7 linked regions of the Oryctolagus cuniculus genome follow. The protein of the gene in region 6 purifies or fractionates together with the protein of the main gene of each other region. This does not show direct contact. Links are inferred from orthologs where the notes say so. Each region holds a gene or a part of one and is shown on either strand. Other genes may lie near its edges.

The links.
Region 1: the proteins of ZC3H18 (region 6) and SSRP1 purify together in Homo sapiens (affinity purification with mass spectrometry; 3 studies listed by BioGRID and IntAct, with this or other methods). This does not show direct contact. The link is inferred for Oryctolagus cuniculus from reciprocal best matches to the Homo sapiens genes ZC3H18 and SSRP1.
Region 2: the proteins of ZC3H18 (region 6) and NCBP2 purify together in Homo sapiens (co-immunoprecipitation; 3 studies listed by BioGRID and IntAct, with this or other methods). This does not show direct contact. The link is inferred for Oryctolagus cuniculus from reciprocal best matches to the Homo sapiens genes ZC3H18 and NCBP2.
Region 3: the proteins of ZC3H18 (region 6) and FNBP4 purify together in Homo sapiens (affinity purification with mass spectrometry; 3 studies listed by BioGRID and IntAct, counting the BioPlex papers as one, with this or other methods). This does not show direct contact. The link is inferred for Oryctolagus cuniculus from reciprocal best matches to the Homo sapiens genes ZC3H18 and FNBP4.
Region 4: the proteins of ZC3H18 (region 6) and FUS purify together in Homo sapiens (affinity purification with mass spectrometry; 3 studies listed by BioGRID and IntAct, with this or other methods). This does not show direct contact. The link is inferred for Oryctolagus cuniculus from reciprocal best matches to the Homo sapiens genes ZC3H18 and FUS.
Region 5: the proteins of ZC3H18 (region 6) and SRRT purify together in Homo sapiens (co-immunoprecipitation; 4 studies listed by BioGRID and IntAct, counting the BioPlex papers as one, with this or other methods). This does not show direct contact. The link is inferred for Oryctolagus cuniculus from reciprocal best matches to the Homo sapiens genes ZC3H18 and SRRT.
Region 7: the proteins of ZC3H18 (region 6) and RBBP6 purify together in Homo sapiens (affinity purification with mass spectrometry; 3 studies listed by BioGRID and IntAct, counting the BioPlex papers as one, with this or other methods). This does not show direct contact. The link is inferred for Oryctolagus cuniculus from reciprocal best matches to the Homo sapiens genes ZC3H18 and RBBP6.

The regions. Positions count from the first base shown.
Region 1 is NC_091432.1:14,784,300-14,788,291, reverse strand, and holds the start of SSRP1 (FACT complex subunit SSRP1), read right to left. Parts: upstream 2,801-3,992; 5' UTR 2,713-2,800; coding exon 2,659-2,712; intron 2,228-2,658; coding exon 2,042-2,227; intron 1,065-2,041; coding exon 959-1,064; intron 707-958; coding exon 516-706; intron 427-515; coding exon 196-426; intron 1-195. UniProt on the Homo sapiens protein: Component of the FACT complex, a general chromatin factor that acts to reorganize nucleosomes. The FACT complex is involved in multiple processes that require DNA as a template such as mRNA elongation, DNA replication and DNA repair.
Region 2 is NC_091435.1:83,418,382-83,422,424, forward strand, and holds the start of NCBP2 (nuclear cap-binding protein subunit 2), read right to left. Parts: upstream 2,801-4,043; 5' UTR 2,675-2,800; coding exon 2,597-2,674; intron 579-2,596; exon of another isoform or gene 1-578. Other genes in the region: protein NCBP2AS2, read left to right, coding at 2,922-3,221. UniProt on the Homo sapiens protein: Component of the cap-binding complex (CBC), which binds co-transcriptionally to the 5' cap of pre-mRNAs and is involved in various processes such as pre-mRNA splicing, translation regulation, nonsense-mediated mRNA decay, RNA-mediated gene silencing (RNAi) by microRNAs (miRNAs) and mRNA export.
Region 3 is NC_091432.1:18,281,269-18,284,768, reverse strand, and holds part of FNBP4 (formin-binding protein 4), read right to left. Parts: intron 1,435-3,500; coding exon 1,124-1,434; intron 662-1,123; coding exon 517-661; intron 1-516.
Region 4 is NC_091450.1:6,003,659-6,006,580, forward strand, and holds the end of FUS (RNA-binding protein FUS), read right to left. Parts: intron 2,397-2,922; coding exon 2,267-2,396; intron 2,120-2,266; coding exon 2,018-2,119; intron 1,901-2,017; coding exon 1,777-1,900; intron 1,333-1,776; coding exon 1,232-1,332; intron 1,120-1,231; coding exon 972-1,119; intron 706-971; coding exon 666-705; 3' UTR 501-665; downstream 1-500. UniProt on the Homo sapiens protein: DNA/RNA-binding protein that plays a role in various cellular processes such as transcription regulation, RNA splicing, RNA transport, DNA repair and damage response. Binds to ssRNA containing the consensus sequence 5'-AGGUAA-3'.
Region 5 is NC_091450.1:43,013,073-43,017,292, forward strand, and holds the start of SRRT (serrate RNA effector molecule homolog), read left to right. Parts: upstream 1-1,420; 5' UTR 1,421-1,683; intron 1,684-1,775; exon of another isoform or gene 1,776-1,866; 5' UTR 1,867-1,884; coding exon 1,885-2,006; intron 2,007-4,220. Other genes in the region: TRIP6 (thyroid receptor-interacting protein 6), read left to right, coding at 1-178, 262-382, 479-610. UniProt on the Homo sapiens protein: Acts as a mediator between the cap-binding complex (CBC) and the primary microRNAs (miRNAs) processing machinery during cell proliferation.
Region 6 is NC_091449.1:68,622,366-68,626,406, reverse strand, and holds the start of ZC3H18 (zinc finger CCCH domain-containing protein 18), read right to left. Parts: upstream 2,801-4,041; 5' UTR 2,591-2,800; intron 1-2,590.
Region 7 is NC_091450.1:14,874,402-14,877,901, forward strand, and holds part of RBBP6 (E3 ubiquitin-protein ligase RBBP6), read right to left. Parts: coding exon 3,459-3,500; intron 1,219-3,458; coding exon 1,150-1,218; intron 1-1,149. UniProt on the Homo sapiens protein: E3 ubiquitin-protein ligase which promotes ubiquitination of YBX1, leading to its degradation by the proteasome.

The sequences.
Region 1 (3,992 bases), on a different chromosome or scaffold from region 6:
GCGCGGTGCGCCGGCCGCAGCGCGCCAGCCGCGGCGGCCATTGGAGGGTGAACCAACGGCAAAAGGAAGACCTTTCTCTCTGTCTCTCTCTCTCACTGTCCACTCTGCCTGTCAAAAAAAAAAAAAAAAAAAAAAAAAAAAAAGAAAGTCCTCAGACAAAAATCGGGATCCTCCGCCCCCAGGGGCTCTGCTCACCACAAAGAACATCTGGCGCTGATCCTTGTGGGGCAGCAGGAAGAGACGCAGTACCGTGGTATAGGGGATCTTGTAGTCAAAGGTCTTGCCGTGCAGGTGCAGAAAGGTGGGGTAGATCCGGATGTCGTAACGACCACGGGGAGTCAGGCACTGCAGCTCCCGGAAGATGCAGATGGCGTCTCCAGTGGCCTGGATGACGTCCGCCTTGGACAGCACGTTCTGGGCAAAGGCCTGCCGAAGCACACACTGTTAACCCGGCAGCAGGCCAGCCCATGGCCTGCTCAGCCCCGTCTGCACCGGGGCGCCTGGGGAGGCCTCACCTCCACGGGATCCACGCCGTCCTCCTGGGTGGGAGGCACGTAGAAGCGGACCTCCATGAGGGACACCTCCGCGTCGTCGTTCTGGTGGAATTCCAGCGTCACCTCGTTCTTGCCTGTGGTGCACTGGGACACGTTGCTGAGGGGTATCTCGAAGACCGGCTGGTCACCAATGTCAAAGGAAAGCAGCTGCCCTGTGAGAAGAGGGCTGCTCAAGCCTCAGGCTCCCCCCACGTCTGCATCGACAAGAAGCCCACCGAACCTGGAGTTCCGTAAGGGCGGGGTGCCGGGGCTGTTTGTTCACGCTGCACCCCGAGACCAGGCACAAAGCCTGACACACCACAGGTGCATTGAGCAACCCACCCGACAGGAAACCGGAGACTGTGGCAGAGGAAGAGAATAAGAAAGGCTGCAGCCCTTGATCCTACCTGCTCCCCAAGACTCACCTCCAAACTTCACCGTCCCCCAGTTCCAGCCCTTCACACACAGGTCCTTCTCCATTAGCTCAAGGCGATAGTGAGTTTTGAAGAAATCAGAGAGTTTCTCAAACTCCTATGAGTGGAAGGGAGAAAGTGCAACCACAGTCAGCTCCAGTGGCCTTAACCGACACGAATGTCCTGACATTACCTATATCCAAAAAATTGCCCCAATAGGACTTCTACCAAAAAATCCATGCAGGGAGCTGGTGCTGTGGCACAGCCTGCAGTGTCAGCACCCCATAAAGGTATTGCTTCAAGTCCCAGCTGCTCCACTTCTGAACCGGCTCCCTGCTAAGGCGCCTGGGAAAGCAGAAGATGGCCGAAGCCCCTGGACCCCTGCACTCACATGGGAGACCCAGAAGAAGCTTCTGGCTCCTGGCTTCAGCCTGGTACAGCCCTGGCCTTTGCAGCCATTTGGGGAGTGAACCAGTGGATGGAAGATCTCTCTCTCTCTCTCTCTCTCTGTAACTCTCCCTTTCAAATACATAAATAAGTCTTAAAAAAAAAAAAAAAAAAGTCCATGCTGACTCAGCAGCTCAGCTCTGAAATGGTTTAAAAGGTTGTGGAGAGAGGCTGCTCCTGGGAGCTGGACCTCAGACTAGGGGAGGAGTAAAGAGAGGGACTGGCATTCCTGTTTCTGGACCTCACCATGTTATCTGACTTCCTAAACTTTGTGTGTTCATTGTTTTAATAGAAGTGGACATTAAAGTTAAGTCTTTCACTCAGAACAGTTTAAGAGGGAAAAGCAAAGCCTGAACTAAAGCATCCAGCTAAGATTCTGAACCTGGATACGAGCAAACAAGCAGAAAGCACGATTTAAACCAGAACAGTAGGAAGCAGATCTTCTGGAACCAAAACACAGAAAAGCTGTGAACGCTCTAGAACACTCAGAGCTGACCCACTGATTGCTCAATGGCCTCAATGGCCCTGCCCAGGGAGCCAAACCAGCACCACGGGGGCTACCAGAGGGAACCTCAACTCCCTCTAGAAGACTAAAAGCAGACAGGATGGCACGGTAAAAAGGGGGCTCACGGCAACAGGGCGTCTCACCGATTCTCGGAAGCCGTCATACTTGTAGACGTGGCCATTCTTCGTGAGCAGTTTAAGTCCGTGGCCGAGAGCCACCCGGCGCCAGATGCCCTCCGTCAACTCCCCAGCCTGGATGTTGTCTACTTTGCCCGTCTTGCTATTCTTGAAGATAATTCCCTGGCGACTCAACCTCAGCCGACCGTCATTCTGTTGGGAAAGTGAGCCCAGATGCACGGGGACAGTACAGACCGTGTCCTGGGTGCAGCTCTACCCAGCATTCACTTTGACTGCCAGGTGATCAGGGCAGGAGCAACAGCTGAAGCGAGGACCAGTAAAGAGACACAAGTGTCCAGGAAGTCTCGGTTCTGCACCTGGCTCGGGCATCCAGAACCTGCGCAGGCCATCAGTCTCCTCGTTTGAAACACAGAATAGCAAATACGGTCCCTTCACACCCTGAGATCCTACAACTCTCGCGACTTTTCAGAATTGCCTTTTATTGGGGGGAAACACCAGGTGCACGTTATACAGAGACTTCCTTTTCCCAGTAGAAACGTCACCAGGACAAGCTCTCGTTCATGTACATCAACTTTAGCTCGCTCCCTCCTTCCATCTCTATTAAAAACGCAAGCCCTTCTCACCATGGAGCCTTTCACCTCCTGATAGACATCGTTGAACTCCAGTGTCTCTGCCATGTTGACCTGCCCCTGGTGGCCTGGGCAGAGCCCTAGGCCTCACAAGGGAAACCGAATACACTGGGCGCTGGGCCCCAAGTCCTGGGTGAGTGTGCAGATGGTCAGCAGGTTGGGAATCTGAATTCAAGAGAGAGTCATGAAACGCAGCGCCGCGCTCTGCTCACGGATGGAGCCAGGTGGCCGCCCCTGGGGGTTCACAGACTCTCCTCTGCCCGGGAACCAACAGGCCGGCTGTGCCGTGCTCCGGGGGTCAGCCCCGGTAATCCCAGGCCCGCAGAACCACCCCAAGCCAACACCCTCTCTGCGCGCCACACCGGGAGCCATGGTAACGAGCAGCGGAACCCCAAGGCCTGCCCGCAGCGTGCACATCTCCCGCGCCCCAACCCAGCTCAGAGCGCTAGGTTCCATCCTGGCCCTCATGGTTCTCCCCTCCTGCTAAAATGGATTCGCCCGCTGCCTGCAGATTCGAACGCGGAACGGCCCATTCGGAGCGTCCCGCGGGGGAGCGGGGCCCAGGGACGACGACCACCCACCTCCTCAAGCTGCAGCCTCGCGACGGGCCGGGCGCGGGCGGTGGGCGCTTCGGGGGATGCGGGGGAGGGGGGCGGGGACGCGGGGAACGGGAGTTAGCTGGGGAAGCTTTTCCCGCGTGCGCGGCCCCGCGTCCCGCCACCGGAAGCCGCGCACTGACCATCGAGAGGATGAGCTGGCTAGAGAGACGCCAACCAGGCCCGCCGCAGAGACAGTCGCCTAGAGCGACGGCGACGCTGGAGGACCCGAGGCCGGGGCGGTAGCGGTGAAGTCCGACTGACTAGAAAATGAAGGCTCATCGGGCTTCTTAGAACGTTGCGGACACGTCAAGCGGAGACTGGATCCTAAAGGGAAATCGTGTACCGTGGCTTTATTTTTGTCAGATTTCGGAGGTTGGGGGGTTAATTTCTGTAGGGGTTAATTTCTAGGGGTAGAAAGGAAGCTGTGGAACACGAAGAAAAATACCTCAGAGTTGCGGAGAGAAACGCGTGCGGGCGTTCGTGTCCTTTGTGGCAGGCCTGCTGGCCGGCTGCCCCCTGCTAAGTGGGATTGATCCTTTCTGAAATGAGTTCACCGTCTACACCCAAATTCTGCACCTCTGTAACCGCAGTGGCGCTGGTAGTGACTGGCAAATGGCAGGATCGAGTTCGAGCGCTGGTGTCGGGTTCACCTTAGAGCCAGAACTGATTGGAAACCACATGAGCTCATCTTGGAAGAGGTGCACCTTGCAAAATCAGAGCCGGCCTGAG
Region 2 (4,043 bases), on a different chromosome or scaffold from region 6:
ACATTAGTTCTGATTTGGAAATAAAATTCCCTTATCATTCCAATCCACCACAAAAACTTGCCAATAAGAGGGGGAATTCAAATTCTGTAAAGCACTTAAGCAAGGTCCAGGAGGGGAGGGTTAGGCTCACAATAATGACACTGTGCATGCCACCTTTCCATTCCTGCATTAGACTGCCAGACAAGCAGTGTGCCTTTTTCTTTCACACTCCATATACTCAGCATTGGATCTTTCTCTAATGGCCCAAGTTTAAATTCCAGTATAGGGGCCAGTCCTGTGGCGTAGTGGGTAAAGCTGCTGCCTGCAGTGCCAGCATCCCATATGGGTACTGGTTCGAGTCCTGGCTGCTTCACTTCCAATTCAGCTCTCTGCTGTGGCCTGGGAAAGCAGTAGAAGGTGGCTCAAGTTCTTGGGCCCCTGCACCCATGTGGGAGACCTGGATGAAGCTCCTGGCTTTGGATTGGTGCAGCTCCAGCTGTGCTTCCATCTGGGGAGTGAACCAGCGGATGGAAGACCTCTCTCTCTCTGCCTCTCTGTAACTCTTCAAGTAAATAAATAAATCTTAAAAAAAAGAAAAATCCCAGTATATAAGGAAGGGCCCTTCTCTCTGTAGAGAAAAATGGATTTTCAAAGATCAAGTTTCCCTTATAAAACTGTCAAAGCAACAATGGCTTAGATGACTTACAAGGTCAGAGTTCAGGAAAAAAGATAATGATGACTAAAAAGATCTTCTTAGTGAGGTTCCTGACTTGGAAGATAAACCAGAGACAGGAATATATAATTGGCTTTAACCAAGACACCTGACAATCCCTGGGGACAAGATGGCTCATCATGGACTAGACATGATGCCTTCACAGAAACCAGTATCTTGGGTGCTGGCATTGTGGTGTAATAGGCTGTCTCCACCTACAGTGCTGGCATCCCATAAGGGCGCTGGTTTGTATCCCAGCTGCTCCTCTTCCAATCCAGGTCTTGGCTAATGGCTTGGGAAAGCTACAGAAGACAGCCTGCGTGCTTGGGCCCCTGCACCCCCGTGGGAGACCTGGAGGAAGGATCAGCTGTGCTCCAGCTGTTGCGACTATTTGGAAAGTGAACCAGCGGATGGAAGACCTTTTTCTCTATCTCTCCCTCTCAAATAAATCTTTTTTTTTTTTTTTTAAGAAAGAAACCCATATATGGCTGTTTTGGACCTTCTAGCCTCCATACTGGGAAGGATACATGTGATTAAATATGAGGCCCATCAGCTGACTTACTCTCCCGCCGCTCTGATCTAGCTTAAGAGTCCAAGATAACCACACCAGTGGCATTCCAGCTTGTAGGGCCATGAGTAGATCCACACCAGCACGCACAGGGCACTGTTCCAGTGGCCCTCACTTCTTCAGTCACTGCTCTACATGTAGTGCTGATCAGTTCTCTTCACTCCAAGAATCACTCTGCATAAGCTGTCCCTGAATGCTCTATAGCGCATTACTTAGAACAACAGTTTTATGTGATCGCATTCAGTGGTAATTAGAGAAATAGCGAAACCATCTAAACTCACACCACAAGAAAACTGAGGGCTGGTGTTTGGCACAGCAGTTAGGACACCCACATCCTGGTCAGACTGCCTGGGCTCAAGCCCTAGCTACGCTTCTGATTCCGGCTTCCTGCTAATACTCACCCTTGGAAGCAATGGGTGAGGCCTCAAGTCACTGAGTTCCTGTCTCCCAGGCATTTGGGGAGTGAACCAATTTCTCAAATAGGAAACCAATTGGACTATGTAATAATATACACTGATTTTTAAAGAAGCAGTCTGGTTCACTCCCCAAATGCCTGCAACAGCCTCCCCCACTCCCCAGCTCGCCTAACGGAACACGAAACACTGCGACACGGTGTTCAATAGTTTCCCTAGTAATTAGGTTATGAGTGCTGCTCTGCCGCAACCTCTGGCCATCCCCGCTGTCACCGGGAAAGCCCATCTCTAAGTATCTGCAGCTGCCCCCTTTCCCCAAAGTATGTTGTAATACAGCCTAAAACCCCCCTTCTGAAATCCAGCATTCTTCCATCTAAACACGCGGGCATCCTCTAGGTGGTCGATCTGCCACCCCACTCCGAACTCTCCCCGACGTTAGAGACAGGACTCAATTTTGTGTCGCCCACCCACCAGTTAGAGCCACTAACAAAAAATTTTAAAAAGGATCCGAAGCGTCAAAGAACACTGGCCGATTATTTAAGACCGGGGGGGGGGGGGGACCGACGGGGGACGGTATGTGTGTCAGAAAGGCGCCTCCACACGCTCCAGCAATGAAAAAGTCTCTCCCCTCATCACAAGTCACTTTCCCGACGCACGGCCTGCAGGAACAGCAGCCAGCGCTGACGACGCCGCTCGAGCCCTCTGCGCCGGCCGCGCACGAGGAGCGGCTGCAAGGCAACGGGAAAGCGAATCTCAAACTCTCTCTCTCGGAAACAGAGTGGGGTCCCCTCCAACATCGCTGCCTCCCCAGCAGGCACCGGGGACCCATGGCCCGTTTCGGGGCAGCAGAAATGTGCAAGAGCAAACCGTTTCTCAGCGTCCTGGCTCAAGGGTCTGCCCGTCGCGCGGCCCGGGCTCCCTCACCCGGAAGTGCTGGTCCCGGTACTGGCTCAGCTCCACGTAGGAGTCACTGCGCAGCGCCTTCAGAAGGCCTCCCGACATAGCTCACACAGCTGCACAACGACGCGCCGACTCCCGAGAACAACCGGACTGGGGCGGCGGCGCGGCAGCAGCGGCGGCGGCGGAAACGGAAACGCGCGGACGCGGCGCACAGTGGGAGTCTCCAGACCAATCCGAGCGCGGCAGTGTCGTCATCAGACGGCGCGGAGGCGGACACAGTCCGCGGCCCAGCGCCGCCGGTCCGGGGACGAGGGAGGCGTGCTCTTGGTTCCGGGACGCTCTCACGAGGATGGTTCTTCGGCGGCTGCTGGCTGTGTTGCTGCACAGCCCGCAGCTGGTGGAGCGGCTGGCCGAGTCTCGGCCCATCCGGCGTGCGGCGCAGCTTACGGCCTTCGCGCTGCTGCAGGCCCAGCTGCGCGGCCAGGACGCGGCCCGCCGTCTGCGGGGCCTCGCGGCGGGGCCCGCCGGCTCGCTGGGTCGTCGCGCCGCGCGATTCCGAGACGCCTTCACACAGGAACTACGCCGTGGCCTCCGGGATCGCCCGGGGACACCACCGGGGAGCCAGAGGGGTCCAGGCGCAAACCCTTGAGCCCGGGCCGAGGTCGCCTACTTTCGCTTCGGGACTGTACAGTGGCTTCGGCGCTGAGGAGTCATCCCGGGAACTGGGCACAGCTTCGAAACCCTGACTCAGATTTCCGGCCTGCAGACGTCCCACTACGAAGAGCCCAGGCCGAACGGACCTCCTCGTTGAAGCCCTGTGACGGGCAGAGCTCCGTGTGGCCAAAGACCCCGAAGCCTGAGGGGCTGCCCCGGGACGCAGCCAGAAAGGGAGCCTGCCCTCTACAAATGGGACAAGAACTCGGGCTAGATATGCGGGGAAGATCATGGATGGAAACACGGCCCTGCAGCTGCCGAAATCCTCTGATTAAATGCGTGAGCTGATTAACCGGCGTGAGTGTGGTGCTTCTCAGACCAGGTGGATTGGGAGGCCTGGGCGCTGTAGGCCGGCACACACAGTGAGTGCTTATTCTGGGCTGGCGCTTGCTAATTGCTCTCAGTGTGGGTTATCACACTTAACTCTTTACAGCGCGTTCGTGGGAGGAAGTGGATATTACTTCTTACGTTGCCCAGAGCCTTACAGAGCGGAATGTGAGTACAGGCATTTGACTCCGGGGCCTAAATCCGTAATCACCACTCTCCACAGCATCTACCCTGCCCCAGTGCCTGTCTTCCTCCACCGCCGTCACCACCAGGCATTAAGACTACCGGGATTCCTGTTCACTTTTGTGGGTCTGGGATACAAACCACTGGTCCAGCTAACGGACCTACAATTAGGATGCAAATTGTGTACAGAAGTGCCCTGTCATTTCCGGCTCTTGATTGGGTGTCTGATGGGCTCTACTTAGGCTAC
Region 3 (3,500 bases), on a different chromosome or scaffold from region 6:
CAGCTCTGGCCATTGCAGCCATTTGGGGAATGAACCAGTAGATGGAAGACCACTCTCTCTCTGGCTCTACCTCTTTGTAACTCTAGCTTTCAAATAAATAAAATAAATTTTAAATACTCAAACACATATAGTCACAGAGGAGGCTGGCATCATGGTTTAATAGGTTAAGCTGTCGTCTGCAATGCCAGCATCTCATATGAGCACCAGTTCGAGTCCCGGCTACTCCACTTCCAATCCAGCTCCCTACTAATGGCCTGGGAAAGCAGCAGAAGATGGCCCAAGTCCTAGGGTCCTACCACCCATGTGGGAGATCCAACAAAAGCTCCCGGTTCCTGGCTTTAGACCAGCCCAGCTCTGGGCACTTGGCCATTTGGGGAGTGAACCAGTGGACGGAAGACCTTTCTCTCTGTCTCTCCCTTTCTGACTGTAACTCTACCTCTCAAATAAATACAAAAATATTTATGGCACCTAATACTGGAGACAAGGAAAGCAATACATCGAAAAAAGCATACTTACCTGTAGCTATAGCTGACTGGCTATAGAGGACTGGAGAACTGCCAATGGTAGCTGATCTCTGAACCACTGCAGTACTCATTTCTGTAGCTTTTCTCTTTATCGCTTTAATGGAAGGAGAACTAGAGATGGTAGAATCAGCCGAACTCTGAAACACAAACATTCTGGTCAGTGGCTAAAGACCCTGGTAGAACACACCTTTCTAAAATAAAACTTGGAGGGGCCAGTACTGTGATGCAGCAGGTTAAGCCGCTATCTGCACTGCTGGCATCCCACATGGGTGCCAGTTCAAGGCCCTGCTGTTCCACTTCCAAACCACTTCTGTGCTAATGTGCCTGGGAAAGCAACAGAAGATGGCCCAAGTCCTTTGTCCCCTGCACCCACATGGGAAACACAGAAGAAGCTCCTGGCTCCTGGCTTCAGCCTGGCCCAGCCCCAGCCATTGCAGCCATTTGGGGAGTGAACCAGCAGATGGAAGCTCTTTCTCTGTCTCTCCTTCTCTAACTCTGATTTCATAATAAATAAATACATCTTTGAGAAATAAAAGAAAAACATGGAGTCAATTATGCTGCAGTCCCCATTACCATTCAGAATGTCAAATATCATTTACCTGGGTAGTTGCAACTGTGGTTTGTGATGAAGGTTTCAAGGGAGTATCCTCCTCTGTTCCTGGGGCAGGAGGTTCTTCACTTCCCTCATCCTCCATCTCTACCTCTTGGATCTCACCATCTTCTACAGGAGGAGGTGGGGGCGGTGGGGGAGGAGGGGATTCTGGGGGTGGAGGTGGAGGCGGTGGCATTTCCAAAGGTAATGGTGGCTGAAGCACAGGCACATTTGACTGAAGGAGGGTCCAGAATGGAGTCAGTGGCATGAGTGATGAAGAAGAAACTTGACCAGAAAAGGATTCTTTACAAAGAGAACCTATGAAGACAGACAGGAGTCAGGGAAAAACCAAGACAAAAACCTCAGGGTTTACATTCACAGAAACGCTCACCTATCCATAAGACAAATATCAATAGAAACCTAGTACACCATGCAAAAGTAGTTTCAAACAGCAGGGACTAGCTCTCCCTCCCCTGCCTCCAAATTCTGACCCACAGGCAATTTGTCACTGAAATATTAAAGAACTCAGCTCAGAAATAACTTCCCATGGAAAGATAAATTTATGATCTTCAGTTAGCACTTTCCCTAGTTGTGTTATCATTCATGTTCTTTGGTCCAGATTTATGGATGAAAAACTTAATAACACATCAACTTAATGAGAAATTCAGTCATCTAAATCTATGGTTTGGAATTTTAATTTCTGGTATTCATGGTTTCAATAAATACAACTAAAAGGCAATACTCTGGGGTCTTATTTCAAAGCAAATGATTGAGTGAATTATGTGCACCTGAAATATTGATTATTTTACTTTTCAAGGAGCTAGATAAATGAATGGGGATGACTCAGAAATACCCATTCCAAAGATAAAAATTCTACCCATTTAATTAATCTGGGTTACCAGGTTTTAAAAATCCATTTGCAAGGTGCTACTGTCAACTTGATCATTCCTTTCACATTTTGTGTAAATTATACTCACTTAGTAGAACAAAGTAACACAAGTTAGGATAATTTTTAGTTTTGTGGTGAAAAATGGGATATTTAGGAAGCCAATCTTCAAATATTTTTTCAAAAATGGTATTTGAAGATGCAGAGGACCTGAAATTGCTGTTACTGAAGTTTGAGTTAAGAAATTGCAGCTAAGGCCGGCGCCGCGGCTCACTAGGCTAATCCTCCGCCTAGTGGTGCCGGCACACCGGGTTCTAGTCCCGGTTGGGGCGCCGGATTCTGTCCCGGTTGCCCCTCTTCCAGGCCAGCTCTCTGCTGTGGCCCGGGAGTGCAGTGGAGGATGGCCCAAGTGCTTGGGCCCTGCACCCCATGGGAGACCAGGAGAAGCACCTGGCTCCTGCCTTCGGATCAGCGCGGTGCGCCGGCCGCAGCACGCTGGCCGCAGTGGCCATTGGAGGGTGAACCAACGGCAAAAGGAAGACCTTTCTCTCTGTCTCTCTCTCTCACTGTCCACTCTGCCTGTCAAAAAAAAAAAAAATTGCAGCTAAAGCAGTAGGATCAGTTTCTCTAAAATTCTGCAAAAGCCACCATTGATTACTATCCTTTCTGGGAATTACTGCTGGGAATAGCTTTTAAAGATTAGAGAAAATAGGAGGACATACTTACTTGTAGCCTTCCCCATCCCTCTTTATCGTCAATAGGGAAGTTTCACAATATATGGGACTATTAGATATATATCCCAGGAATGCTGAAGGGATTTTCTCCCTAAAAATCATAGAATTTAGGAGTAGAAGAGAAATGAGAAATTATCTAGTTCAACCTCATTTTAAAGGTAATGAAACCCAGGCAAGAATTGCCTTGCCCAAGATCATACATATGTTAGTGGCCAGGCCAGAGAGAGAGCTCAAGTCTAACTCCTACTCTTGTGCTTTCTATTTTACCAAGATGTCCTGGTGAAATAGCAGGAGTCCAAGAGCTTTAGAAATCTCAAGTCAAATAATCTCACATCTCATGAAGTAGATATCCAGACGCAGTCACCTGTTAAATTTCATGGTCAAAAGTGGTGGGTTAAGTAAGGGCTCAATTACAAAAGGCTCTAGGGCAAGGAGAAGGCCATTATAGTACTTTATTCAAAACATATCACATTAGTACTCAACAAGGTAAATCAAAAGCAACCAGAATCTATTTGGCCTTCAGAGTATTTATTTTTGTATTGAAAAGGTAATGATAGTGTCGAAGATTTTAGAAACTTGATTCATGTTGTTCCTGTAATTATTCTGATATATAGTTTATTGCTAAGGAAAAGCGCACTGGGATGCAGCTCTCCAGCTAAAAGAATCAAAGACTGATTAAACTTCTAGTTTGAGGGGTGGGCATTTGACACAGCAGTTGGAATGCCCGCATCCCACACCAGAGTGCCTGGGATTGTGTTCTGACT
Region 4 (2,922 bases), on a different chromosome or scaffold from region 6:
AGTGAACCAGAAAAGGGAAGATCTCACCCTCCCTCTCTGAACTTTCAAAATAAGTAAATCTTCAAAAAACAAAAGAAAACAGCAACAAAAATCTGACCACCATGGTCAGATATTAATACTGCCTAATTTGTTCAGCCTCAAAAGAGAAAGTTCTTTAAAGGGTGAAACTGCTATAAACAGAAATAAAGACCAGCATGCAAACTGTGGGGAAACTCCCACAGCTGGGCAAATGCAGGACAACACCCACGGCATCGTGTCTGTCTATCTCACGTATGCATCCAGTGCTGCCAGACAGAGGTCTGAATCTCTCCTCTCAAGGATACCACTGCAGTTTTTTCTCTCCTGGATCAAGTAGCAAACACTTGATTCCAGTTCCCGCTGTGCAGGAACCAATTGTTCCAATTCCTGCTACGCAGGATGATCTGAAAGATGAAACTCCCCACATTCCTGACCCAGATGTCAATCCCCCAGGAGAGCGAAGAGGGGGAAGAGGAACAAAATTTAACTAAAACGATGGTTTTTTAATGGGAACCAGAGGTATGGTTACAATTACGTAGTCCAACACAAAAATCCATGGGCGATCAGGAGTCGGAAGGTTACAAAATAACGAGGGTAACACTGGGTACAGAAGAAAAGCCGCTCCAGAACCTCAGTCAGGAGCCGGACTAATACGGCCGCTCCCTGCGATCCTGTCTGTGCTCACCCCTGCCAAAAAAAAAAAAAAAAGAGGTCCATTAGGTTTGAGAGCCAGCATCTCCATCCACCCCCTCCCACCGGCGGTGAGCAGCTATCTCATCTCTCATCTAAGGAGGAGGCATCTACAGATGAGTTCCCCAGAGACAATTTTCCTCCCCTGCCCACTAGGTTACTGTCCCATCTCTTTCCAATCTAGCTGCAAAATGAAATCACTGAACAAAACCTTGCTAGCCCATTACTCTGTTCAATTACTCTACTTTTACTCAGAGTCTTACCTGGAGTCCATCTTGCCAGGGCCAAAGCCGCCTCTGTCCCCACCACCCCGGCCCCCTCGGAAGCCCCCACGGTCCCCGCCACGGCCCCGGTAGCCGCCCCGATCGTAGCCTCCTCGGCCACCACGACGGTCATCTCCATAGCTACCCCCTAGGAAAAAAAAGAAATGGATCTCACATACCCATCCAAGCACTCCCCCACCACAGCCTCCCTGCTCAACAACGAAGGCCCATCTGCTCATGAGCAGGTCTGCCCTCCTTACCCATGTGAGAACCTCCTGGTCCCCCTCCTGGGCCATCTGGTTTAGGGGCCTTACACTGGTTGCATTCATTCCTCCAAGAGAAGTTCATGTTCTCACAGGTACTGAGCAAAAGGAAGACAATTAGTTCAGAGGGACAGGAAGTAGGCAAGATCCAGAACAACAGACTCCAGTGCCCTTAGAAATTGGCGTGAGAACACTGAGGCGCCCGAAAGGTGAAGGAACGCACGCTGTGACCGTGGAACCCAGTCCACACCTTCCCTACTACCGTCGGCGCTGGTCAACCACAGTCTACAGATATTAAATAGAAACGCCTGAAATGAACAATTCACCAGTTTTCAAGCTAATGTCATTCAAGGAGCATGATTAAGCGTTATGCTCCTCCTGGCCGCCCTGGCAAGCTGAGAAATCATCTCCTTTGTCCAATGTATGCACACAGCACACACTACCTGCTGACCATTCACTTGGTAGCCATTTGGTTATCAGATTAGCTTATCAGAGCCAAGGGCACACACCACAAAGGCAGGAAAAAAAGCAGATGCACTCACGGATTAGGACACTTCCAGTCCCCGGCTCGCTGCTGTCCCCCGCCACCACCACCTCCACTGGGGAATCCTCCTCGGCCACCGCCTCCACTGCCGCCGCCACCGTAGCCTCCACGGCCCATGGGACCTGGTGCAGATACAGGAAGTATGGGTCCAGGCCCCTTCCAAGCCTGGCTCATCCCAAACCCACACCCCCATATACCCTTTCCAATGGAGCTATCAAAAACACCAGGCAGCGCCTCACCTCCTCGCCCTCGGCCTCCACGACCATTGCCACCACCCCGATTGAAGTCCGCTCGGCGAGTAGCAAACGAGACCTTGATAGGATTCCCAGAGAATTCTTTACCTAAAGAAATAAAGGTGAGAGAAAAGACTTCTGATTCAAGACCTGTGGATCCAAAAACACTCTTGGTACAATCTAAGAGTGCTCTCCTAAAAATATCTGTACTGTGTTAACTGCACCTCCAGTTCCGTCACTGCGCCTCACACGTACCGTCAAACCAGTCAATGGCCGCTTTAGCAGAAGGTGGGTCATCAAATGAGACTGTTGCCTCTCCCTTCAGCTTGCCAGTTTCCCTGTCTGTGTACAAATTAATCATGGGCTGTCCTGTTTTCTTGTTTGTCTGAAAGAGCAAAATGAGAAAACAATGATTTCCGAGACTATAGTAGGTATCCTTCATTATCTCCAAGTCATGGTTGGTTCCAGGACCCCCACCATCTTTGTATATTCAAATCCCTCTTAAAATTGTACTTGCAGGGCCGGCACTGTGGCATAGTGGGTAAAGCCACCACCTGCAGTGCCGGCATCCCACATGGGCACCGGTTCAAGTCCCGGCTGCTCCACTTCCAATCCAGCTCTCTGCTATGGCCTGGGAGAGCAGCGGAAGATGGCCCAAGTGCTTGGGCCCCTGCACCCACATGGGAGACCCTGGCTTCTGGCTTTGGATTGGCCCAGCTACGGCCTTTGCAGCCATCTGGGGAGTGAACCAGCAGATGAAGACCTCTTATCTTTGCCTTCTATAATCAATTTTTCAAAAATGGCATCTGCATGCAATCACATCTTCCCATTTATTTAAATCCTTTCAGGTTACTCAACACCTAATACAACGTACACACTATGCCAACAGCTATTACGCACTACAGTATAAG
Region 5 (4,220 bases), on a different chromosome or scaffold from region 6:
CCACCCTGGAGAAATGTTCCACGTGCTCCCAACCTATCCTGGACCGGATCCTGCGGGCGATGGGGAAGGCCTACCACCCCGGCTGCTTCACCTGCGTGGTGTGCCACCGTGGCCTGGACGGCATCCCCTTCACCGTGGACGCCACCAGCCAGATCCACTGCATAGAGGACTTCCACAGGTCAGGCCCCGCCGCCTTCCCTGCTCGGGGGTGGCTGGCTTTGCCCACCCTGGGCTCAACTGTCGGCTCTCCCCTACACCCAGGAAGTTTGCCCCGCGATGCTCGGTGTGCGGCGGGGCCATCATGCCTGAGCCAGGGCAGGAGGAGACGGTGAGAATTGTTGCCCTGGATCGCAGCTTCCACGTCGGCTGTTACAAGTGCGAGGTCAGGGGGCCAGGGCGAAAGCCAGGGGTGTGCAGCAGGGGAAGGGAGCCTGGGGGTCCTGGGGCTGACCGGAAGCTGCTGTTTCTTTCCCGACAGGAGTGCGGGCTGCTGCTGTCGTCCGAGGGCGAGTGCCAGGGCTGCTACCCGCTGGATGGGCACATTTTGTGCAAGGCCTGCAGCGCCTGGCGCATCCAGGAGCTCTCGGCCACCGTCACCACCGACTGCTGAGGCTCCCCGGGGTGCACCTGCTGCCCGGGCCTGTTCCGTTCCCCGTCGTCACCCTCCCCGACACCTGCCTTTGCAACTTTGTTACCAAACGTTGTCTCCTCTCCCTCCAAACGTCCTGAAATAATAATCTGGGAGTTCACAACCCGCCACGTCTGCTGTCCCATCTGATTGTCACAGTAGCAGCGCAAGCACCGTTACTGTTTTATCACACAGATGCAGTGTGGGGTGATTCTCAAATGACGGAACCGAGATCGGGACCCGGGTCTTCCCAGCAGCTCTGGTCCAGTTTTATTTTATTTTAGCCACTGTCCTCGCGCCAGGGGGAAGCACCACCTCCCTACTGTGCAGCCCCGCATCCGGGCCAGATCCGCCCGCCTGATGCTCAGAGCCCTAATTAACCCTGCGGCCTGGCGCCTTTGCCAGGAGAACAACGGGTTCTGCAAGTAGCGCATGCCGAGGTCTCATCAAAGCGAACAGAAAATGGTGGGAGGAGGCGCTTTAAAATGGTCGCTTCCGTCCCATTCCCTGAACGCCCACGCTCCCGCGCGAGGAGGGGGCGAAACCACCGGCCGCCCTCAGGTCAGCCCGCGGAGGGCACCGGCTGCAGGGGGAAGTGGCTCGGACTCCGGGAGACTTCGGGGTGCGACCTCGGGCGGGGTGGGGGGGCGGAGAAAGCGCTCCCGCCACCGCCGGAAGACTGCCGCCCTCCCCGGTCCGGCCGGGCTTCCGTAGTTCTCTCTCTGGAGCGCGCAGTTCGCATCCCGGAAAGCTCGCGAGATCTCCGTGTCCCCGCCCCCTTCCCATCACGCCCTGCTCTCCCCGCCTTCGGCGCCCGGCCTTGGTTCTAGTTAGGGCCGCGCGAGTAGGAGTTTGCGGCTCCGGGCCTTGTTCTGTGGTTGACGCAGGCGCAGCGCGAGTGGCGCGCGCCCGCCCATCCTCGGTCGCCCCACTTTTCCTTCCCCCAACCCCCGCTGTCTGCGGCCCGCTCGCTGAGCGCCCCCCGACCCCCGCAGCCCCTCGCCCCGAGACCAAGCCTGCCTGGACGCGCGACCAACGGCCGCCGCCGCTCCCAGGTGGGGGAGGGGAGGCGGGGGTGGGCAGGGGCGCCCGGGGGCGAGCGCTGCCCGCGATGGCGGGGCCGGCGGCCGGCGGCTTGGGCGGGGGGGAGGCGGGCGCGCGCGCGGCGCCGGAGGAGGGGTCCTCGCTGGGCTGGTCCGCGCCCGAGCCCCTGACCGGCTCTCCTCCCCGGACCCCAGGCCCCCTCGGACCGCGCCATGGGTGACAGTGACGACGAGTACGATCGAAGGCGCAGGGACAAGTTTCGAAGAGAGCGCAGCGACTATGACCGTTCCCGCGAAAGAGACGAGAGGCGTCGAGGGGACGATTGGAATGATCGGTGAGACCCTCGCCCTGGGCTGGAACGCCGGCTCCCTGCTCGCTCCGGGGCGGGGGTGGGGGAGGTCGCTCGGTGGCCGGTTTCCCGCGGTCCGGCCTGCGTGCTGGGGGGCGAAGCCCCGTGCAGAGGCTGTGCGTTGGGTTGATGGTGAGCTTTGCCTCGGGCGCCTTGGGGAAGTCGACCTGGGTGCAGAGGGGCGGTCAGACCGCTTCCCTGGCCACACTAAGGAGTCGGTTCATGGGGACCGTTTTGCCTAAAATGCCGGGGGAGTTGCGTGGGCAGCGCCGTTGGGTTCATGGATGAGCTCCTGGTGAGCCTCCTGGGGTGTCCAGCTTTGGTTACAAGTTAGATGGGGCAGCACGCATATGAGTTGATGGCGAGTGCACGGCGGTGGCTCCGTCTGGGAACGTTTCCATAGAGGAAGCGTGAAGTGACTTCTCCTAACGGTGTTCCTTCATTGAGTGGGGTGCTGGAAGGGGGCTTAGGGGCTGATGTTGAGGTGTAGCGGGGTGAGCTGTCCCCCACCGGTCCCCGGCTGCTCCACTTCCGATCCAGCTCCCCGCCGGTGAGCCTGGAAGGCAGTGGGAGATGACCCGCGTGGGAGACACGGTTTTGGATTCCGGGCGCCTGGCTTTGGCTGGCTCGGTCCTGGGTGTTGCAGCCGTGTGGTGAGCAAGCCGGTGGACTCTGCCACTCTGCCAGACCAGCCAACAGGTCACCCCTTGTTTTGCTGGGTGTATTCATTCATTCATTCATTCACTCATTCATTCTTTAAGATTGGTTTCTTTCTAAGGTAGAGTGACAGAGAAGGAGAGACGGGAAGATCTTGTCTCTGGTTTGTTCCTCAGATGACCACAGTGGCCAGAGCTGGGCCATGCCCTCGAGTGAACCAAGGGCTCAGACAGCGGCCCCTCCTCAGTATTTTCTAAGGTGGGGGGGAATTGGTGATGAGATGATCACTCTTACAGGCTTGTGGTCTGGAGCTTAGGGTGGGGAGCACAGCGCCCTTGGGCCCACGCCGCAGGTATGCGTGCGTGAGATGTCGGTCCAGCTGTTGCCAGGGCAGTGCTGGTGGGACAGCTCGGGCAAGTGACGCCAGCCGCACTGGGCAGGTGGGTGGGACTTCCTGGACGGTGAGGAGTTGTGGGTCGGGTGCTGGGTGCGGGAAAGAGCACGTGTTCCGGGGGCTTGGAGTCGTGGTTCTCGTGTGCCCCAGGCCCCGCGGGTCTGTGAGGTCACAATCACCTCTCTGAGAGCAGGTGTCTGGTGAAGCGGTCAGGCCGCTGGCTGGGATGCACGGGTCCCTCGTCCGATGTTGGGGTCTCAGCTGCTCTCTCCTGCTAATGCACACAGTGGGAGGCAGCAGGTCCTTGAGTCCCCGCCACCCGATCAGAGACCTGGATTATGTTCCTGGCTCCTTGCTGGCTGGCCCAGGTCCCGTTTTAGCAGGCATCGGGGGAGTGAACCAGCAGATGGGCAGTCTCTGTCTCTTTGCCTTTCAAACAGAAGTAATTAAATAAACCTAAAGTGTTACTTTGTGTCGTTGACGTCTGCACTGCTGGTGGCAGCACCAAGGAACACCGTGATGCCAAAGTGTGGAGAAAGCCAGTGTCACTCAGTGTCCTTGTCCTAAAGCTTAATAGAGCCGGCGCCGCAGCTCCCTAGGCTAATCCTCCACCTAGCGGCGCCGGCACACCGGGTTCTAGTCCCGGTCGGGGCGCCGGATTCTGTCCCGGTTGCCCCTCTTCCAGGCCAGCTCTCTGCTGTGGCCAGGGAGTGCAGTGGAGGATGGCCCAAGTGCTTGGGCCCTGCACCCCATGGGAGACCAGGAGAAGCACCTGGCTCCTGGCTTCGGATCAGCACGGTGCGCCTGCCACAGCGTGCCAGCCGCAGCGGTCATTGGAGGGTGAACCAACGGCAAAGGAAGACCTTTCTCTCTGTCTCTCTCTCTCACTGTCCACTCTGCCTGTCAAACAAAACAAAACAAAACAAAACAAAACAAAAACTTAATGGAGTGGGCTTGACCCACGGCCTGGGAAGTGGTGGGCGCAGCGGCGTCCTGAGCTGGGGCACCCGGCAGGCATCTGCTTGAACTAAGAGAGCAGCGTGGGGAAGTGAACCTCCCTGTGCGGACAGCCTTGGGGAACGGGTGTGTGCCAGGGCGAGCTGGCCTGCGTCGGGGGGGGGGGGGGGGGGGGGCGTGCAGGCGTGCAG
Region 6 (4,041 bases):
CCCTGTACCGGACGGGGAACCCGGGGCCCGCGGCCGTGCACGCTCAGACCTCTCTGGTTGCCTGCTGGGCGCGGCACCCCCCACTCAACGGAAGGAGCTACTGCTCCCATGGGGAATTGAGCCCCTCTCCCCCACTTCTTCTTCTTCTTCTTTTTAAAGATTTGTTTATTGGAAAGGCAGGGTTACAGAGAGAGAGGAGAGGTCTTCCATCCGCTGGGTCACTCCCCAATTGGCCACATCGGCCGGAGCTGCGCCGACCCAAAGCCAGGACCCAGGAGCTTCTTCCAGGTCTCCCACGCGGGTGCAGGGACCCAAGCACTTGGGCCATCTTCCTCCACTGCTTCCCCAGGCACATCAGCAGGGAGCTGGATCGGAGGAGGAGAACTGGAACCAGCGCCCACATGGGACGCGGCACTGCCGGTGGCACTGCAGGCAGCGGCGTTCCCGGGGCTCCGCCGCAGCGCGGCCCCTCCTACGTGTGACCAGCGCTTCGACAGCACAGGAGGACCCAGTTCTAGAGTGGTCTGCGGAGCTCGTTTTCGGAACCCAGCACAGACGTGTGTTTCTTCTGCGCTGACCCATCGGTGTCCCTCGCGCAGCCTCTGACACGCTGCCCACACGCGTGACGCTCGCTCATCTGCAGACTACAGTGACGACCTCACGGACCGTCAACACAGGACATCACTGTCTGGCATTCTAGACTTGTCTCACGTTCAAACATTTGTCAAAGCAACACGAGTCCAATAAAGAAAACCCAGGGAGCCAACCGCACTGAGCCCACAGGAGGCACTGCTTGAGTCACCCCCTAGGGGACGGCCGCTGGGCGCTGACCAAGCGACCCGGGCGCAGACGGCTCTGCCCGACTCCTGCGCGAGCCGTGAACGGACCCAGGCACCTGTCGTCATCCGAGGCAGCCCAGCTCCGCCATGCAGCCCCACGGGGACCTGCCAGAGGGGAGCACCACTCCCCAGACTAACACGTCTTGCCTGGGTACGCAGAGCACTGCTCCCTGACCTGTCCCTGCCCCCGCGCTGCCCCGCGGCTCCTGTGTGCAAAGGCTGCCGCGAGACCCTACCCCACAGGGCGCGGGCAGGGCCAAGGCCCACTTCCGTGTTCCCCGGGCTCACATCCAGACCGGGACACCTGTCAGACAGAAAGGGGCTCTGTGGGCGCTCAGCGCCCTCGACACACGGCCCCCAAGGAGGCCCCGACCGGCTTCCCGGGGAAGAAGCCGTAGGGTCTCCACGGACCCTCCTGGGACTGTGCTGCCCAAGCAGAGGCTCCCGCCAGCCAGCCGCCACCAGCAGCCCACGCCACACCTTGCTGGCGACGGGAGATGGCCGAGTCCCCGGTCCTTGACTCTGGGCATCAGTGTCCTGTTTTGAGACGAACGCGGCTTGGCCGATACCCCAGCGCGCGCCCCACAGCCTGCGAGGTGCAAAGCACCCGGCGGTCTCCCGGCAGGCCCTGCGCGCTCCAGTGCTCTGCTCCAGGGCAGCGAGCCGGCCTCTGCAGACACCCCAGCAGCAGGAAGGGCCGGGAAGTGCCCGCGCGTGGACAGCACCTTCCTCCTCACCCGCGCGCCGGGGCCTGGGGGTCTTCCTCCCTCCAAGTCAGAAGCTGCAGCGCACCCGTCCACAGCCTGGGCGGAGCGAGCCTGCCCTGCTCGGGCGGCCAGCAGTCCCCACCGCACAGGTCCAGCGGGCTCTGGCGACCGAGGACAGCCGGGCCGAGCCCTGAACGGAGCCGCCCATCTGAACCGCTGCCTCGCGTTCTGACCGACGACCCCACGCAGGCACGGGGCCTACAGGACGGGGGCCGGTGTCGGACGCCAGGGCCACCGACACCGGCCTGCTGCCCGGGGCAGGGCCACGGCGCGCCCGTCTGCTCTGGGGAGAACCCACGAAGCCGCCTCTGCAGCGTGGGGCATTTCCCACGGAGACTGTGGGGCGCGAGCGTGCTGGGACGCGCTCAGACGACAAGCGTCAGGGCAGGCTGCGAGCCGCCTCCACCGGGGCTGGGAGGCGGGAATCAGCCAGGTCCCGGCCGAGCTCTGCGAACGCGGACCTCGGCACCGGGAAAGCGACGGATCAGAGTCCCGCACCCCGACGGGACCCCCGCACTTGCGAAGCCAAACTCTCCGTCTGTCCAAACGGGTCCGGAGGCCGACGGCCCTGGAGGAGCCGGCTCCGCGAGTCAGGAATCGGGCTCCCGCCAGGGCACGGCCGCAGGTCGTGAGGGCTGAGGTCCCCCCCAGCGCCAGCGGCCCCGGGGCCCCGAAGCCGCGGGACCGAGTTCCACGGGCTCCGCCGGGCTCCAAGTTCTCCGAGCGCCCACGGGCGAGCCGCGCCGGCCACTCCGGGCGGGCCCGCGCGCTCCTCGCGCCGCGCGCCGCAAGCATGTGCCGCGCGAGTGGCCCGGAAGAGAAATGACAGCTTCGGCGAAACGCACACCGCGGCGCGGCCCGGCCCGCGCCGCCCCGGCACCCACTTCCCGGCCGAGAGCCACGCCGCGGCCGCGGCTGCGCACCGCCGGGCCCCGGGCCTCGCTCCCGCCGCCGCGGCCTGCCCGCCGCCCGCCGGCCGCTTACCTCAGCGCGAGGGCGGGGAGGAGGCCACGGCGCCGCTGGAGTCGGGGCGGCGCGGAGAAGACGCTGCTTGGCCCTTCCGCTTCTCACAGGCTCCGGCTTTCGGGGCGGCGCGGGCGGAACAAACGGGCTCCACTACCCGCGGAGTACGGCCATTGTGCGACGTCATCGGGCCGCGACCGCCGTCCGGCCGGCCGGCGGGCTTCCCTCTCTGGCCCCGCCCCCCGCCGCTTCCTTCCGGCCTCGACGCGGGCGCCTCGGCGCGGCCCCGCGCGGCGCGCTCCCGCCGAGCCTCCCACTGCGCAAGCGCAGCCTGGCGCCCCGCCCCTCCGGGGGCGGACCCGGGCCCGCGCTGTCCGACGGCGCCCGCGAGGGGGCTCCCCGCGCCGCCCGTTCCCGCAGGGGCGCCGGGTGCGGTGCGTGGGTGCGGCTCGAGGCGTGCTGGAGGTTCGTCACGAAGCTTAAAGATCTTTTTTATTTGAAAGGCGGAAGGAGTTCCCGGCCCCCGGCCTCCCGAGCGCGCGCAGCCACCGGGAGCCACGCCTCCCTCCGGGCGTCCCGCAGGGAGGCGGGGGCTTGTGAGGCAAATCGGCTTTTCCCCAGAGGGAGCGGATGGCGGGGCTTGCCCCCGGTCCGAGACTTTCCAGGACTCCCCACGATTATTGAGTTGGCCAGTTTCTGCCAGTTTTTCTGACTCCCTCCGCCACGTCGCCTGCTAGGTTTGCCACGCCCCCATCCGACTGAGCCTATGAGCAGCGGTGTGGGCTTGTGCCTCCACCAATCAGGACGAGGGGGCGTGGCCACCGCGACGACATAAAAGGGATCGGCCTGCGGGCGGCTCCCCGGGGTCCTCGCCGGCCACACTGTGCGGCCGGGGGTCTCTATGAGGCTCGGTCCGGGATCCCCGCCCTCGGGTGCGCGCCGAGCCGCCCCCTCGCTGGGAGACGCGGGTCTGCCCTGCGGCTGCCTCGGATCCGGGTCTTCCCGGGACTGAAATCCCAGCCGCGCGGGCTGGGCCCCGGCCCGGGCCAGGACGCCGTCGTGTGACGCGGCCCCGGGTGGTCGGCACGTCCCGGAGGCGGCTGGAAGGAACGGGCCTGCGCGGCGCCCGAGATGGAGAGGCGCTCGGGCCTCCGGGCCGCCTCGCTGACCACGCCCAGCAGCACGGCGACGAGGGTCCCGACAGAAACGCGAGACGCCCCCGGGAGTCGGCCCGACGACGAGCCGCAGCCGGTGAGGACTGGGTCTGGCAGCTGCCAATCCGGCGTGAGTGACAGGACGCCCTCCCGCTGAAGGCTCCGCTGCTCGGACGGGAAGTGCCACAGCGTTAGGGGTGTCCGGAACCGCCGACCAGAGTGAGGCCAGAAAGTGCTCCCCCTGCTGCGGTCCCCGGGGTGGGTCCTGGGTTGGGTAATGCTCTTTGACTGCTCTGAGCTTCCAGAGCTCAGAAGAAG
Region 7 (3,500 bases), on a different chromosome or scaffold from region 6:
ATGTTTATAAGACCATGGAGACACTGTATTTAAAAGCTATCTTTTGTAAACTTCAGATTGATCATCATGCCATTAGTTATCATCTTTCCCATCTCTTTTGAAAGAACTGACAGGTTAATGCTGCTGTGACCCAACTCTCCAAAATGCCTTTCAACATCAAGTTTAAAGAAAAGCCACTTTCTGGAACCTCTTTTTTGAAAGAGGATTTAGACAAGCTTCATTCAGTGTTTTCTCTCAAAGGGTTAAGTAAAAACAGTGCTCAAGTTTCTGAACTGCATCTCATTAAAGAAACTGAATGGGCTTCTGTTGAGCTCAAGGTTCACTAAATTACAGGCAAGTGGCATACAATAGAAGAGGGGTTTAGATTTTAAGTCTCTCTCCAGAGAGCTAGGAATTTGCAAATATTACCTTCTTTTAACATGTGATCTAGTAATACAGTAGTTAACTTTCATAAACTTAGCAATTTTCAATGGAACATCAGAAGATAGCTTTCTTATCTTTGTTACACCATTTTGGAGGCGGCCCCTCTATCCCTGGTGGTGACTGACCCAGGCATTAAGATCTACCTATGGCTTGCTGCTTAGATTCACACTGCTTGTGCCTATCAGGGCAAGGTCCCTTAACAATCTCCTTATGTCTTCTTGTGGAAGACAGAAGATAGGAAAAGAGTAGGACAGTTCAGTCTGGAAGAAAAATAAATGCAGTTCTTCCTCACACCTGGGAGCTAAGCTGGTTAATGTGCATCTCAAATTAAACTGCCATCTTAAATGCTGTCTGGACCTAATGGCTTCCTTCTGCCTCCAAGAGAAAATGCAAGACAATATTTTTTGGGCCCCTGTACCCATGTGGAAGATCAGGAAGAAGCTCCTGACTTCAGCCTGGCCGGCCCCAGCCACTGCAGCCATTTGGGGTGAACCAGCAGATGGAAGATCTGTTTGTCTCTCCCTCTTCTCTTTTACTTTGCCTTTCAAATAAAATAAAATCTTAAAAAAAAATTACCATTTGGAATACTAAATGTAACTTATCCTTGAAGATAACCACTAAGGACTTGAACTAGGCACAAACCAGTCACCTGCCCCCTGTGCTAAATTTCTATATTTTTCAGTATGTCTTAAGACTATTATTTTCTAAGATTTTTGGCCTTCCTACCTGTAGCAGCTTCTCTCTCCTCTTCTAATTTGCTGTGGTGGAGAAACCAGATATCCAAGCTTGTTGGAACTGTATAAGAAGAAAAAGGTAAAACAGACATGAGCATTTCTTCAAGGGTATTAATACACGACCTTAAGTGTGTAGACTTTAGGGTATCTATTTTAATTTTCTGAGAACATCTTCCTAGTCTGTGATTCTTAATTTTTCCAGATACAGATCTGAGTAGAAATACTACCTTTACTTAATATTAACATCTTTCTTACTAACTGTATTATAACAAACTTCAATATAGAATATTTTTCTGTCATGTATTTTAATTAGTACTCTATAAAAAGGAAAAAGAGCCCTTTTACCTGCAAAGCACTATGCAGGCACTTTACATGTTAAGATAGGCAGCATCATTCCAATTCTACAAATGAAGAAATGGAGGCTGAGTAGTAAAACCATTTGCTCACTATCATATAAGTAAACAGAGAGGCTGGGATGGAAACCAGGTCTACTCATCTCCAAATTCCATGTTCTCTCTACTAATACAACCTACTAGGCTTTCATTTAACATACTAAAAATATCAAAATTTTAGAATATAAGTCAAATTGGATTACAGAAATGGAACTGCTAATATATATACATATATGTAAATATAAAATAAACCCAATGATTTTTAATACCATAACACATCTCAAAGAAACTGAAGTTCCTTGTATTTCAAGGCAGAAAATTCATACCACATATATTTTAATATGTAACAAAATTTTAACAGACACTACTCAAGAAGTTTTTTTTGAGATTCAAAATATTTATTAGAATCAAGGACTTCCAGCCAGAGCAGCATGGAGGGGGCCATCCAAGAGAGGAAAACCTCAGGAATTTTGTAATTGGTAAACTTTAACCATAATATGGAATATTCACTGAAATGAAATTTGAATCATCTGAATTGAGATCAGAATTCCACAGTTAAAGTAAGTTTTCAAGTAATTATTATTTACTTGCTAACTGAGGTCCTGCCAAGATCTCTTTTATTATTCATAAAAAGTGGGTAAGAATTTGTGATTTTTGTATTTTACTATTTTTGAAAATTATAGTTAACCATTGAACAACATGGCTTTTGCATTGTTTGGTCCAATTTAAAGTGGCCTTATTTTTTTTTTAAAGATTTATGATAATTTGAAGAAACCCAGGGATGAATCATGCCAAAGAGACATTGAAAAAATATGAAAAATGTCATGAATGCATAAAATATATATAGATAACAGCTTATAATGTTCTGCGATAAAATATACACAAATTATAAAAATATAAATTTATCAAAACATACACTTTTTTTTTTTTTTACAGGCAGAGTGGACAGTGAGAGAGACAGAGAGAAAGGTCTTCCTTTTGTCATTGGTTCACCCTCCAATGGCCGCCGCCACTGGCACGCTGCCGCACTGATCTGATGGCAGGAGCCAGGTGCTTCTCCTGGTCTCCCATGGGGTGCAGGGCCCAAGCACTTGGGCCATCCTTCACTACCTTCCCGGGCCACAGCAGAGAGCTGGCCTGGAAGAGGGGCAACCGGGACAGAATCCGGCGCCCCAACTGGGACTAGAACCCAGTGTGCCGGCGCCGCAAGGCAGAGGATTAGCCTAGTGAGCCGCAGCACCGGCCCCAAAACATACACTTTTAGAACCATATATGGTTCTGCCATTTGAAGCCAAGAGAAACGTAAACAATGGTACACAGTGTTGAATCATAACTGCATAAAATTACCTGTAGTAAAATACTGTGCTACTATTGTAATTTTGTAGCCACTTCCTATTGCTGCTACAGCAAGCTCAAGTATTGTTATCTGCTTAAATGCATGGGATGGAATTATTTCCACCTGAGCAGTTCCTCATTCTAGTACTACTATGTATTACAGTAAAAAGTGACCTCTTGTGGTACTCATGTATTTTTCACCATATATAATTTATATAAAATGCAAAGCATGCGATAACTGATTACATTATCAAAGGGCTTTCAGTAAATAGCCGGGCATTAGTAGATAAGTTTTTGGGGAAGTCAAAAAAAGTTTTATATATATTTTCAACTGTATGGAGACTGGTGCTCCGAACACCCATGTTGTTCAAGGGTCAACTGTACACTCATTCTTTTAGAAAACAATGCTTCCCATCAGCCTGAATTTGTGACATTTCACAGAGAAATTGTATTAATCTGCCATAAAAGGAAAACTTACAATGAAAATTATTTGGCAACATACTGCCTAGTTTGTAGTTCCCACTATCTGGTTCAAAGGCAATTATCTAGAAGATTATTTTTAACATATACTCACTGTTCCCAACCTGGTCGACCACCACCTGGACGAGCAGTATTT